Arabidopsis thaliana: one gene and its partner. The protein of the gene in region 1 purifies or fractionates together with the protein of each later gene. This does not show direct contact. Each region holds a gene or a part of one and is shown on either strand. Other genes may lie near its edges.

Region 1 (5,484 bases):
GAAGATAATACTGCAGATACATTCAAAAACTTCCCATAATTCAAAATATGATAAATGTGCGTTATTAGTTATTACACAAAAATTCAAATATGAGTCATCTGTGTTGGATTTAGGCATTTAGCTTATTAAAAACTTTTCTTTCCAAACTCATTGTGTTTTGTGTATCGTTCACGGAGTAATTATGAAGAAACTAGAGAAGTTTTGAAGCACTAAACAAAGCTAAACATCAAAATATTTCTTTTTCTTTTAATGATAGAAGGTACCCAAGCTAATCTCTAACCATAAAAGAAGATGTTTATTGATATCAAAATCAATCATTATTAACCATAGAACGACAAGACGATAATGACCACCATTACATGGTTGAAACATCAAATTTTTAACAGCTAGACATTTCATAATGCAAGATGTTCCATCAAGCACAAGATCATACCACTCGACCTTTCCCCATATTTCTCCTCCTTCGCGCCTTTCGAGGGCAATCTCTGCACACCAAATTTCTGTTGTCTCGCTCATTTTCTCTATTTTATGCAAAAACACAACTAATTTTCTACCATAACTTGTTGTGAATGATCGTGGACCGTCCAAACGTAGTTTTAATTCCACACCGTTCACCACTTCCCAAATCCTCTCTTTCGGGTCATACGCTCTTATACAATTCATGTGATTATCATAGTAGTACAATACATCGTCTATAACACATGAACTAGCTAGACCATTTTTCAGAGTGCAACTAAAAATATAAATATGTAGGAACAAGTTAATCCAATGAGATCTTATTATGGAATGAAGTCTTGGGTAAGTAATTTGTTATTGGGTGATTTTGAACGATTGTAAAGTGTTATTAAGTTATACCAACCCATCTATTTACCATGTTTTTGCCAAAAGATATATGTGTTGTCAAAAATATATAGATTATGTAAGTTTAACAAAGTCAATAAACTTTATATATTTTGCCAAGTTGCCTAATTAATTTTGATTCATCTTTCAATTGAAGATATATAATGATGATAAATGATAGGAGATCTACTAAATTTTAACTGATCTTACAGAAAGTTTTTTCCTAAAATCAATTATACAATAATGACAAACTTACGTACAAAGATGACTGTTCGTACTCGTAGGTCGAAATCATAGATAACATTTTTATATATGGCATCAGAGGTTTCGTACAAAATGAACAAATGTACAGTATAATTATGAAAGAAAATTATTGTACTAGTTGCTCAACACTTGTCAATACTTGTTCTGATATGATGGTGTTGGAGATAAATTTGGTCATTTCGATTCCTAATGAATTAATATATAGGCTAATATATCAACGGTTGTGTTCATTAACATCCACATAACATATTCAGAGTCTCTTTTATTTAGCAAACTATTTTTTTCTTTTTTCTTTTGGGGTCACGAAGATAAGGAATTAACAAGAAAAACCTAATATGTAAACGTCACCACTTTTTATTTAAGAAGCAAATTAGAAAGATTAACACTACCAGAAAAGCCCATACAAAGAAACCAAGCTGATACATATTCAACACAATCATTGATTAATAAAAGTTTAAGTAGCTCTTATAACACCATCTCATTTGGGGCAGGTAGGTTCGAATGCGAATGGACCAACGTTGTACACACTGTACTTGAACCATCTCATGATGGTCGAGGAAAATCCTGGTTTCAAGACCGGCTTTAGAACGGAGCCCTTGCCTCCATCGTGGAGTGACGACACTTTGCTGCACTTGGTGTCTGGAGACTTCACGAGGAAAGCTCGACAACCTTTGATATCGTAGTTGGTCACCGTCTTAGGGGCCAGGAGCATGAAGTATCCGTTCTTGTCCGTCTTTGTCTCCGATATTGAGTTCTTCTTGTTCTTGCACACAAGTCTCACCACCGCATCTGTATCCCCAGATAACACAAACGAAATAAAAAGTGAAAATATAGTACTTGGATAGATTTGTTATACAGAAATTGTTTTAAAATAATGCAAGAGCATGTATTTGTTTAGATTAGTTATGGTAAATTTACCCTCTTTTTTTAAGAAGGGGCATGACTTGAACAAGATTTTCTTACTAGTTGAGCTAAATTTGGTATTATAGGAAACTTGGGGAAAACAATGACAAGGCTTCGCTACAGTAGATTGTCTTAACCAAAAACCTATTGATTATAATTAAATTAAATTCAAAAGCATTGAAAGAAGTTACTTAGTTTTCCATGGTATATTTTATGTTTATCAATTCGTGAAGGGACCAGAATGATACGACCGGCTCTGAACTAATCTCGCTTGGTAGCATATAGTTAAAAGTTTACACAAAAAGTTTTGAACAACCGACAATGAGATTATGATACATATAACATATGCCTAAAATAAATGTAAAGGATGAAGTATGCATGCAGCATACCTTTAGCAAAAAAAAAGTATGAATGCATGGGATTGAAGTGTGGACTTTTCACATACGGACATACCACGGTCCACAGGTGCGTATATTAAGGGTTCGAGTGATTTTTAGGATAATATATAGACTTTCATATCATGAATGTATATAAGTGAGTACCTTTAACGGGTTTAGCGCCTTGGACGTTGTTGACGCCCGCGTACTTGCAAGCTTTGCAGTAGACCACACCTCTAACTGCCACTAGGGTCTTGTTGTACTTAGGAGGGTAAACTGGTGGGAGAACAGGAGGTTTGATCGGTGGGAGAGTTGGTAACTTAATCGGAGCTTTGGCTGGTGGGAGAGTTGGTAGCTTGATCGGAGCTTTGGCTGGTGGGTAGGCTGGTAGTTTGATGGGAGCTTTGGCCGGTGGAAGAGTTGGTAGTTTGATTGGAGGTAGGGGAAGGTGTTGGGGAAGGCTATGGAAGGGATCTGATGAACCAGGTTGATTCACTCCTAAGGTGAAAACAGAGGAAGTGAAGCACAAAAGTGCAAAGAGAGTTAGAGAAACACTCTTACCAATGATTCCCATCTTTGTTCTTTTGTTTTTCTTTGTGTGTGTGACTTTGGGTTGATGTGACTTGGGTGTATTTATAGGAGATATCGGGCTACAATTTTTTATACTTCATATAGATACTAGAGAGTAGAGGCATACACAGCACATGTACACAACTGGCGAGAAGTTTCCGATCGATGTAGTCCCGTTAAAGATTTAGATTTAGATCTCCTAACAGGTTTGAATACTTGAAGCAAGAAACTCGATATTGATTTGTAGTACAGTCACTTCCCGGGTTTTTTTAATAGAATAAATGAAAACTTCGTCAACCTACCTGAAGTTTATTTTTTCTGATGAAAAGATAATAATTAACGAATGCATCACAGCTGAATTCAATACAGTGTTTAGTCATATATATGTTAATATTCAACAAATTAATGTTATGATTTGAAAGTTTTATGAGAAAATTATAGTCATGTATATGTGAATTTCTTATAGTTTGTGAATTTAATGAGAGTTAGTAAAAAAAAATATAGATATAATTTTACAAATTCTATTGGACAATATGTAAATTTACAGTGTAACTTTCAATGCAAATATCTGGGATATAGATAGTATTAGTGCATGAGTTTTCATTCATGTTCCATGTTTTGTGGTCCTTAACATGGGCATGGCAACAAGATGCGCCTGGTGCGGCTTCAACACATTACAACACATTTAAAAGTTCAATTAATATCCACACTTCTGTTTCTATTTATTTGGGTTTCCAATTTGATTAAATTAGCAAAACGGTGCCTATAAAATTATTCTTAGATCAGGATAAGATAAAATACGTTAAAAAGTCAACTAGATTTTAATGAAACTGGTAAAACAATGCCCGTGTAATTATTCTTAAATCAGGAAAATAACTATTAAAAATTGATGTTAATTAATAGTGGAAACTCTTTTGGTCTAGTGTTTTACAAAAAAGATTTATACTTTCATCGTTTCACGTCATGCATAAGATTTCATTTCCTAAACTATACAATGCCTTGGAGATTATAAGTGCAATTCTTTTGGAGGTTCTGAATAAAGCTATGTGAGATCAAATACTTTTTGAAAAATTCCAAGCTTCGCAAACGTATGGTATAGCGTCACATGTAATATTTAGAGTGTTGAACCACAGAACTTTGATAAAACGTTAAATGGTACGGTGATATGTATTTAGTTTTTAGGATTGGTATTAACCTAAACCAAAAAAATAAAAATAAAGCGTGAAGATATACATAAACGTAAACACAATGGCCTTAAGCTTTGAGAGAAGAGGTAAGACAGATATACGCTAGAGTAAACCATAAACTAGGCCTAGGGGTGAAAGTTTCTAACTTTCTATACTTCAATGATCAATCTCAAGATAACAATGAGATCGACATGCAATAATTTGAGTTAATTTGGGTTTGAGTTGAAGGAAGTTTTCATACGCATTTTTAAGCCATGAGGCCCAATGATGTTTTGACAAAAAAATAGAGGCCCATGATGTATCAAGTCTCATATTTCATTTGGGTTAAAAATTGATGTAAATAGAAGTAACAGTGACTTTTGTTACCCACAATTTGAAGAATTATATGCATAGAATAATTTTTTATTTTTATAATAGTAATTATGTTAGCCATAACTTAAAGAAGAAAAAAAAATCAAAAAAGAAAACGAAAATAGTGAGAGTACGTGATCAGCTACGACGGCATCCACAATACGTAAGTGGGCTATATATTATTGTGAAGTGTGAAGTCTTCTAACAAACAAACAGAATTTCAAAATTCAAATTCAAATCCAAATCACACGAGCGAGAGAGAGCAGATAATCGCCACTCGCCAGAGCTATTGATTTCGCTTCATCGAATCTCACACTCTCTAAGTTTCGTCTGCAATGTCGTCTACCAGAAGAGGCACTAAGAGAACTCGGCCAGAGCCGCCGCAATCGCTCAAGAAGCCAACACCGAAAGCAAAACTCCCGGACGAATTGGATGTCGATGTTTCTAGGTCCGTTCTCGTGTTTTCTTTTGCTTCGTCTTCTTCTTTTTCTTCGTTTCTTCTGTTTTTTTGCTGAAATGTGACTCGCGATTGTGTTTCCGTGTTGATCGTGTAGCGATTTCAAAGGAATCATGTCGGCGTTGCAGCAATTCAGAGAGAAAGCGCACGAAGATGGCCGTAAGAAGAAGGAAGAAAGCATTTCCAGGTCATATATCTCTCCGTTACATGTTTCTCTCTGATTAGGTTATGTAAACTTCGATTTCATCATTCACTATGCAGTTATCGAGATATTCATGTCGATCGCTCATGTGCATTTGTTGATGGAGCGTTTCTTCTAATTGTTATCGTTGGTACATGAATTAGATCTGGATCTTGTATCGCAAATCAATTTATCAAGTAGATATAGCTAGATGAAGCTAAGGTGTTTGATCATTTGTTCTAGCATTTGATATTGGTTGATCTGTTGTGAAATTGGTTATGGTATGCTCATGTATCGCTTAAACTAGAAAGCATATATATGTTCGATTGATAGATATCAAGCTCTTTTATATGT
Region 2 (6,412 bases), on another chromosome or scaffold:
TCCAGCTGGATGCATTGATGGGGTCACTAAACCGTAAAGGAGAGAGGGAACTGTCATTATATACACAACTAGAGATATTCTATGACAGAATATGGTCAGTTTATAGCTTCCCATTTCTATTTTGCATAATCTGCAGTATTTATTATTCTGGTAACTTGTTCTACCCTCACTTTAATGCACATGTAGAAGAGTAACACCACATTTATCGAAGTCCCCTTGTTTATGTGTAATGGCTTTAAAACCTGGCGATGACTTGTGATTTGCAGCTCTACACTACAAAAGAGGACGAAGGACATTGCTCACAACATAGAAATGGAAGAAGCAGTGGTTAGGAGATCTACCCGTGTAAGAGCTCCACTACATGAAAATCCAGCTAGTGCCTTCTTGAGATATGTTAACAAGTGGAAAGAGGACTAAACGTAGCAGAATTCAATTCTGTATAGGAAAAGCTTGTAGTTGCAGTTGCAGCCATAGCCAAAACTTACCATTTTCAGCTTGTCTTCTCTGTTTTTTCTTTGGCTCCTTTAGGGTTTAGTAGAGCTTTTTACAAGTTACAACAAAAAGGCATTAGTCTTATGGTATGGTGAAGGCAACGCTTGAGTAGAAAGATGGTGTTGGGTTTTGTTTTGTTTTTCTGTTACCATTCATCATCACCTTCTTTTCAGTACTCTATGATACCGAGGTACCATTTATTTTTTATTTTTTCCGGGGAAATTAGAAGTTTTATTACTATTCCTAAAATGTTTCATTGCAGATTTGCATCTATGTCTGATTTTGGTTGGTGGCTATATTTCTAAGCTTTGTTACAGAAGACTTAGATTAATTAGGCTAAAACCTTTTGACTTATTTTTGTTTTCAGTGCGGTTTGATAAATTTGATGGCATGTCATCTTTGTTTTAGCTCCAAAATAAACATTTAGGACCATCGTTGTACCCTTGTTTTTTGTTTTAAAAAAATCAAAACATGAATTTGGTAGTTCGACATTTGAATCTATACAGTATACAACTACTCGGAGAAGAAAGTCAGTTCTCATTTTCAAATCCAGGTAATTACACCCACACCTGTGGGCTGTAAGACAGAATTTACAATGTTGAACAGCCTAGCTATGATTCAGAAGCAAACCAAGGACTACAAGTCAGGTTTAGTTTTCAGCCAAAAAGCCAATCGGAACTCTTTCTTTTTGGGTAACAAATTCGGTTCGGTAAGATGAACCGATTAGATAATTTTTTGGAAGAGATGAACCGATCAGTTAACCAAAGAAATTTCTATTTTTTCTGAATTTTTTATTTTCGGATTTTTGGGCTCCGAAACAAACCGGATCTTGACAAATTAGTAAATTACCAAATGAAATTCTTAAGAAGGTAACTTTTACCAAAATGCCAAACTTCAAAAAAGCAATAAAGTTCAACACAAACAATACCATTAGGCAAAGAAAGAGAAAATCTAGCGGGAACGATAATTTCTCTTTGCAGGTTTCTTGTCAAAACCTGGAGCGACTCTAATACCAGGAACGTTTTTGAGACCCATCTTGCCAAGAATATTTACAGGGATAGCCGGAGGGATGCTAAGTCCCATACTGCGGCTAAACTCATTAGCTAACTCCACCAGTCTGGTCGTGTCTCTAGCAATCTTCTTCTGCGATTTGTAGTAACCCAACCATGCCTGATATGCCGCCTCCTTGTTCGTCATTTCCACTTGGATAAGCCCTTTCTGCACCTGATTTTAACATGTTTTCAACACCCATCAATGCTCACTCGAGTTACATACTCTTAAGAAAAATTTGGCTTCTAACGTAAAAGAGGTTAGTTTCGTGAGATGTGAAAATCTTATTCCTTTGCATACATATTCCAATACAGTTTATATAACATTCTGGTTGTTCTGGTTTGCTACTTGCTAGCGAATAGAATTTACGAAAGGCTTGCTAAGTTCAATAGAGTCACAAATTCAGGCTAAGTTTACAGTAGTAGTATTTGAAAAATCTTACCTTTTTCACAGCCTCATGGTCTATTGGCGGTAAAGAAGACTTTGTGATGGGCAAGTCCTTAACAGAAGATAGAAAGTACTCTTCCCACGGTGCCAACAATAGTACACCTTCTCCTTCCTTACCTTTCCGCCCAGTTCTGCCAAGTCTATGTATATATTGTTCCCTGTCTGATGGCAATCCCATCTGCAAAAGCAACATACACACAACAACAACTTCGGTAAAAAAAAACAATCAACTTTGTAGATACTGTTCAATTCCATGATTGAAAACTACTACATGATTTACCTGTACGACTAAGGACACATCAGGGTAATCAACACCACGAGCAGATACATCAGATGTCACAAGGATAATACTCTTGGACTTGCGGAACTCATCAGAAACTCTGGTTCTGTAACTCTGCGGTTTTCTAGAATGGATCTCTCTGACGTTAAGGCTTAGCTTACCAAGCAGATCAGCCACCAATCTTGTAACCATAGCAGTTGTACAGAAAATAATAACCTGCAACAGCAAGGAGATCATGTTAATCCAGAATTACAGTGGTGATTAACAAAGGCATTGGAGGAACAATATACCTTATAGCCCACATTATCTGTGATGTGTTTTTTCAGAAGACCATATAGAAGCGAGAAATGTCTATCTAATGATGCAATCATGTACATTTGTGAAACCTGGGAGATAAAACAGACATGAGAAACCATTAGCATCCAATCATATGGCAGGCCATTGGTTCAAATGAACTTAAAAAGCAATCTTTTACCTTTTGATGCGTCTCCCCAGCACCCTCTTGAACACAGTTGACGAATTCATGATCCCGTTTCAGAGCAACATGGCATATTTGGCGGACCTTGATAGCAAAAAAACACAGTTCAAGATTCCAACCCAAAAGTGAAAGCCTTTGTGCAAGAAACTGACACTTACCTCATCAGATACTGTGGCGGAAAATAAAAATGTTTGTCTCTGCTTAGGAACAGCAGCAATTATCCTCTCAATTTCCCTTCGGAAACCCATGTCCAAGAGATGATCAGCTTCATCAAGCACAAGGACTTTCACACCCATCAACCTTGTTGCAAATCCAGAAGTGTTGTCGATATGGTCTTTGAGCCTTCCGGGTGTAGCCACGAGAATCTGAGAGTGTGAAAATATGTTATTATTCAAAAATATACAGAGACAAAGATCACCATCTCTGCAGCCACTTTGACTGCAGGGAAGACAAATAATGCAAAAAAATCTAAATGCATAATGAGGCTTAGATCAAAGAACATATCCTGTGACTGAAAAACAATCCTAACTTGGACAGGGAAATCCATTTCTTTTTAAAAAACAATCTATCTTAATTCATATTCTTAGAAATTCAAATCATGAGTCCATATTGTTCTAGCGAAGGATAACCAACTCAGTTTGAAAAGAAATATATGCAACTCTATTGGTCAGATAACAAGTTTCATCTGAGAAGTCCAGCTCAATGGAAATGCATGATTTGCTCAGAAATAAGTTTACATATTAATACAAATGAAAATTTACCTGGCAAGGACTCTTTTGCAAGCGCCTTTGCTCCGTAGGAAGCTTAGTGCCTCCAATCACAACTTGAACACCAATAGATGGGTGATACTTGAGCAAGATGTTTGCTTCTGCAGCAGCTTGACAAGCAAGTTCCCGAGTAGGACATACCACAAGCACAATAATTGGGGGATGCCTATTATCACGGCTTGCAGGAGGAGCTTTGATAACAGCTTCAATTGATGGAAGCTTGGAAAAAGAAACATCAACATTAATAACAAACCCCAATTAATCAAACTGATTGTAATCCTAAATGACCAACATGAACCCAAAAAGGGTATCTCACCAAAAATGCAACTGTTTTCCCAGTGCCTGTTTTGGCCTTCGCAAGGATATCTTTACCTGGAAAACCAAGGAAGAATAATTAATAGAGGAATAGTCAAGCTTCAAAATGTTTAAGTCATGACAAAACATAAGGAATCATGAAGAAAGATGCAAAAGTTTCTGCCTTTTAGGCAAGTTCACCTTGGAGAATGAGAGGAAGAGTAGCCTCCTGAACAACAGTCATTGTCTTAAATCCAGCATCCTCAATTCCTTTTAACGTTAAGGGAGACAGTGGGAACTGATCAAATCTGTAAGAACCATTTTACCATAAAGAGAAATCTGAATCAAACACCACTAAGAATAGCTCTGAAGCTATCTCCGAAAGAAACGCAAAAAATGTACCTTGTCTTTGACAAATAAGAATCTGAAGTTTTAGCAATTTGAGTCACTAGAGGCGTAGTAGAAGCTGGTTTCTTAATAAGAGGCTCATCAACATCAGATTTGCCTTCTCTTCCCCTCTTTAGACTCTTATTGTTGTCCTTGACTAGCTTTCCCGAGCCATCTTCGTCACTCGTCAACTTCTTCACAAGTTTAGCACGAATCTCTCGTCTCTTCTTACCGGATTTGGGTCCATCGGAATTCATGCCAACGAGTGGAGAAAAGACGGAAGAGAACGGTGAAGCGTATGCCTTTAACTGTAAGGCTCTGCAACTACCAAATTCCCGCCGTCGGTTATTTTAGGGTTTAAAAGGTTTTGTAGGAAACACAATTTAGGGCTTAAGGGTACAGATGCGAGTGGCCCAAAATGTCAACAAATATACAAAACGGCATGTAGTTGCTCCCTTTGCTTTGAAACGTGTTGTTTTATATCAGAAAAAAGTTTTGTTAAATCTTCAAACACGTATAATCCAACTTAATACTTTTTTTGTTTTTTTAGTGAAAATCGAAATACTCATGTTAACAAGCCATTACAAACAAAAGACCTTTATAAGAAGGCAACTTTTATAGGATTTTTTAGTTAGGAAGTCTTAAGAGTGTAGCAAGAATGACAAGAGACTACACGTCTACACTTACAAAACATTAAAGTTTTAAAACCAAAGCAGATCACTAGGAAAAAAGAAAATCTACTTGGTTCTAAGACCAGGAACGTTTTTGAGACCCATCTTGCCAAGAACATTTTTGGGGATAGCTGGTGGGCTGTCAAGTCCCATGCTGCGGCTAAACTCATTGGCCAGCTCCACCAGTCTGGTCGTGTCTCTTGCAATCATCTTCTGAGATTTGTAGTAACCCAACCACGCCTGATACGCCGCCTCCTTGTTCTTCATTTCCACTTGGCTCAGCCCTTTCTGCACCTGAATTCAACAAGTTTATTATACCCAGCAATACTCACTCATACTCACACCCTTCAAAAATCATAGCTTTTAACTTCAAAGAGTTGTGTTATGAGATTCAGGTTCAGTTTCAAGTTCCCTACTCATTCTGGATTGCCAGCAAATATGAGTTAAGAAAGGCTTGCCAAGTTCAGTAGAATCACAAATTCATGTGAGTGCGCTTATATGAAAATGCTTACCCTTTTCACAGCCTCTGGGTCTATTGGCGGTAGTGGAGACTTGGTGATGGGCAAGTCTTTAACAGATGACATAAAGTACTCTTCCCATGGTGCCAACAATAAGACTCCTTCCCCTTCCTTCCCTTTCCGCCCGGTTCTGCCAAGTCTATGTATATACTGCTCCCTGTCTGATGGCAATCCCATCTGCAAAAGCAAACAACTTCAGTTAAACAAAAGAGATAAAATTTGTAGTCGCAGAACAATTCCATGTCAGAAAACTATGGTTACCTGTACGACCAATGACACATCAGGGTAATCCACACCACGAGCAGATACATCAGATGTGACTAGGATAATAGCCTTGGACTTGCGGAACTCATCAGAAACTCTGGTTCTGTAACTCTGCGGTTTTCTAGAATGGATCTCTCTGACGTTCAGGCTTAGCTGACTAAGCAGATCAGCCACCAATCTTGTCACCATAGCAGTTGTACAGAAAATGATAACCTACAACAGCAACGAAATCGGGATAGTTCAGAAATACAGACATTGGTTATTCATAATGGCACTAGAGAGATAATGTTACCTTATAGTCCACATTATCTGCGATGTGTTCTTTAAGAAGCACATGTAGAAGCGAAAAATGTCTATCCAGTGATGCAATCATGTACATTTGTGTGACCTGGAGATAAAACAAACATAAGAAACTGATAACATCCAATCATATGGCAGGCCATTCACTCAAATTAAGCTAAAGAGAAATCTTTTACCTTTTGATGTGTCTCCCCAGAGCCCTCTTGGACACAATTGATGAACTCATGATCCCGTTTCAGAGCAACATGGCATATTTGGCGGACCTTGACACCAAAAAACACAGTTCAAGATTCCAACCCAAAAAATGAGAGCCTTTGTACTAGAAAGTGACAGTAACCTCTTCAGGTACGGTGGCAGAAAATAAAAATGTTTGTCTCTGCTTAGGAACAGCGGCAATTATCCTCTCAATGTCCCTTCGGAAACCCATGTCCAAGAGATGATCAGCTTCGTCAAGCACAAGGACT

Evidence for each region.
Region 2: the proteins of AGP30 (region 1) and STRS2 fractionate together in Arabidopsis thaliana (co-fractionation; one large-scale study listed by BioGRID). This does not show direct contact.

What each region holds. Positions count from the first base shown.
Region 1 is NC_003071.7:14,292,280-14,297,763, forward strand, and holds AGP30 (arabinogalactan protein 30), read right to left. Parts: upstream 3,075-5,484; 5' UTR 2,959-3,074; coding exon 2,550-2,958; intron 1,894-2,549; coding exon 1,583-1,893; 3' UTR 1,282-1,582; downstream 1-1,281. Other genes in the region: AT2G33793 (DNA ligase-like protein), read left to right, coding at 4,828-4,940, 5,047-5,136. UniProt on the Arabidopsis thaliana protein: Proteoglycan required for the timing of seed germination. May function in the abscisic acid (ABA) response.
Region 2 is NC_003076.8:2,792,580-2,798,991, reverse strand, and holds STRS2 (DEA(D/H)-box RNA helicase family protein), read right to left. Parts: upstream 4,605-6,412; 5' UTR 4,453-4,604; coding exon 4,211-4,452; intron 4,117-4,210; coding exon 4,010-4,116; intron 3,887-4,009; coding exon 3,831-3,886; intron 3,734-3,830; coding exon 3,509-3,733; intron 3,113-3,508; coding exon 2,906-3,112; intron 2,832-2,905; coding exon 2,745-2,831; intron 2,656-2,744; coding exon 2,560-2,655; intron 2,486-2,559; coding exon 2,270-2,485; intron 2,168-2,269; coding exon 1,985-2,167; intron 1,717-1,984; coding exon 1,444-1,716; 3' UTR 1,232-1,443; downstream 1-1,231. Other genes in the region: AT5G08630 (DDT domain-containing protein), read left to right, coding at 6-94, 267-417; PDE340 (P-loop containing nucleoside triphosphate hydrolases superfamily protein), read right to left, coding at 4,933-5,160, 5,379-5,561, 5,646-5,861, 5,941-6,036, 6,125-6,211, 6,286-6,412.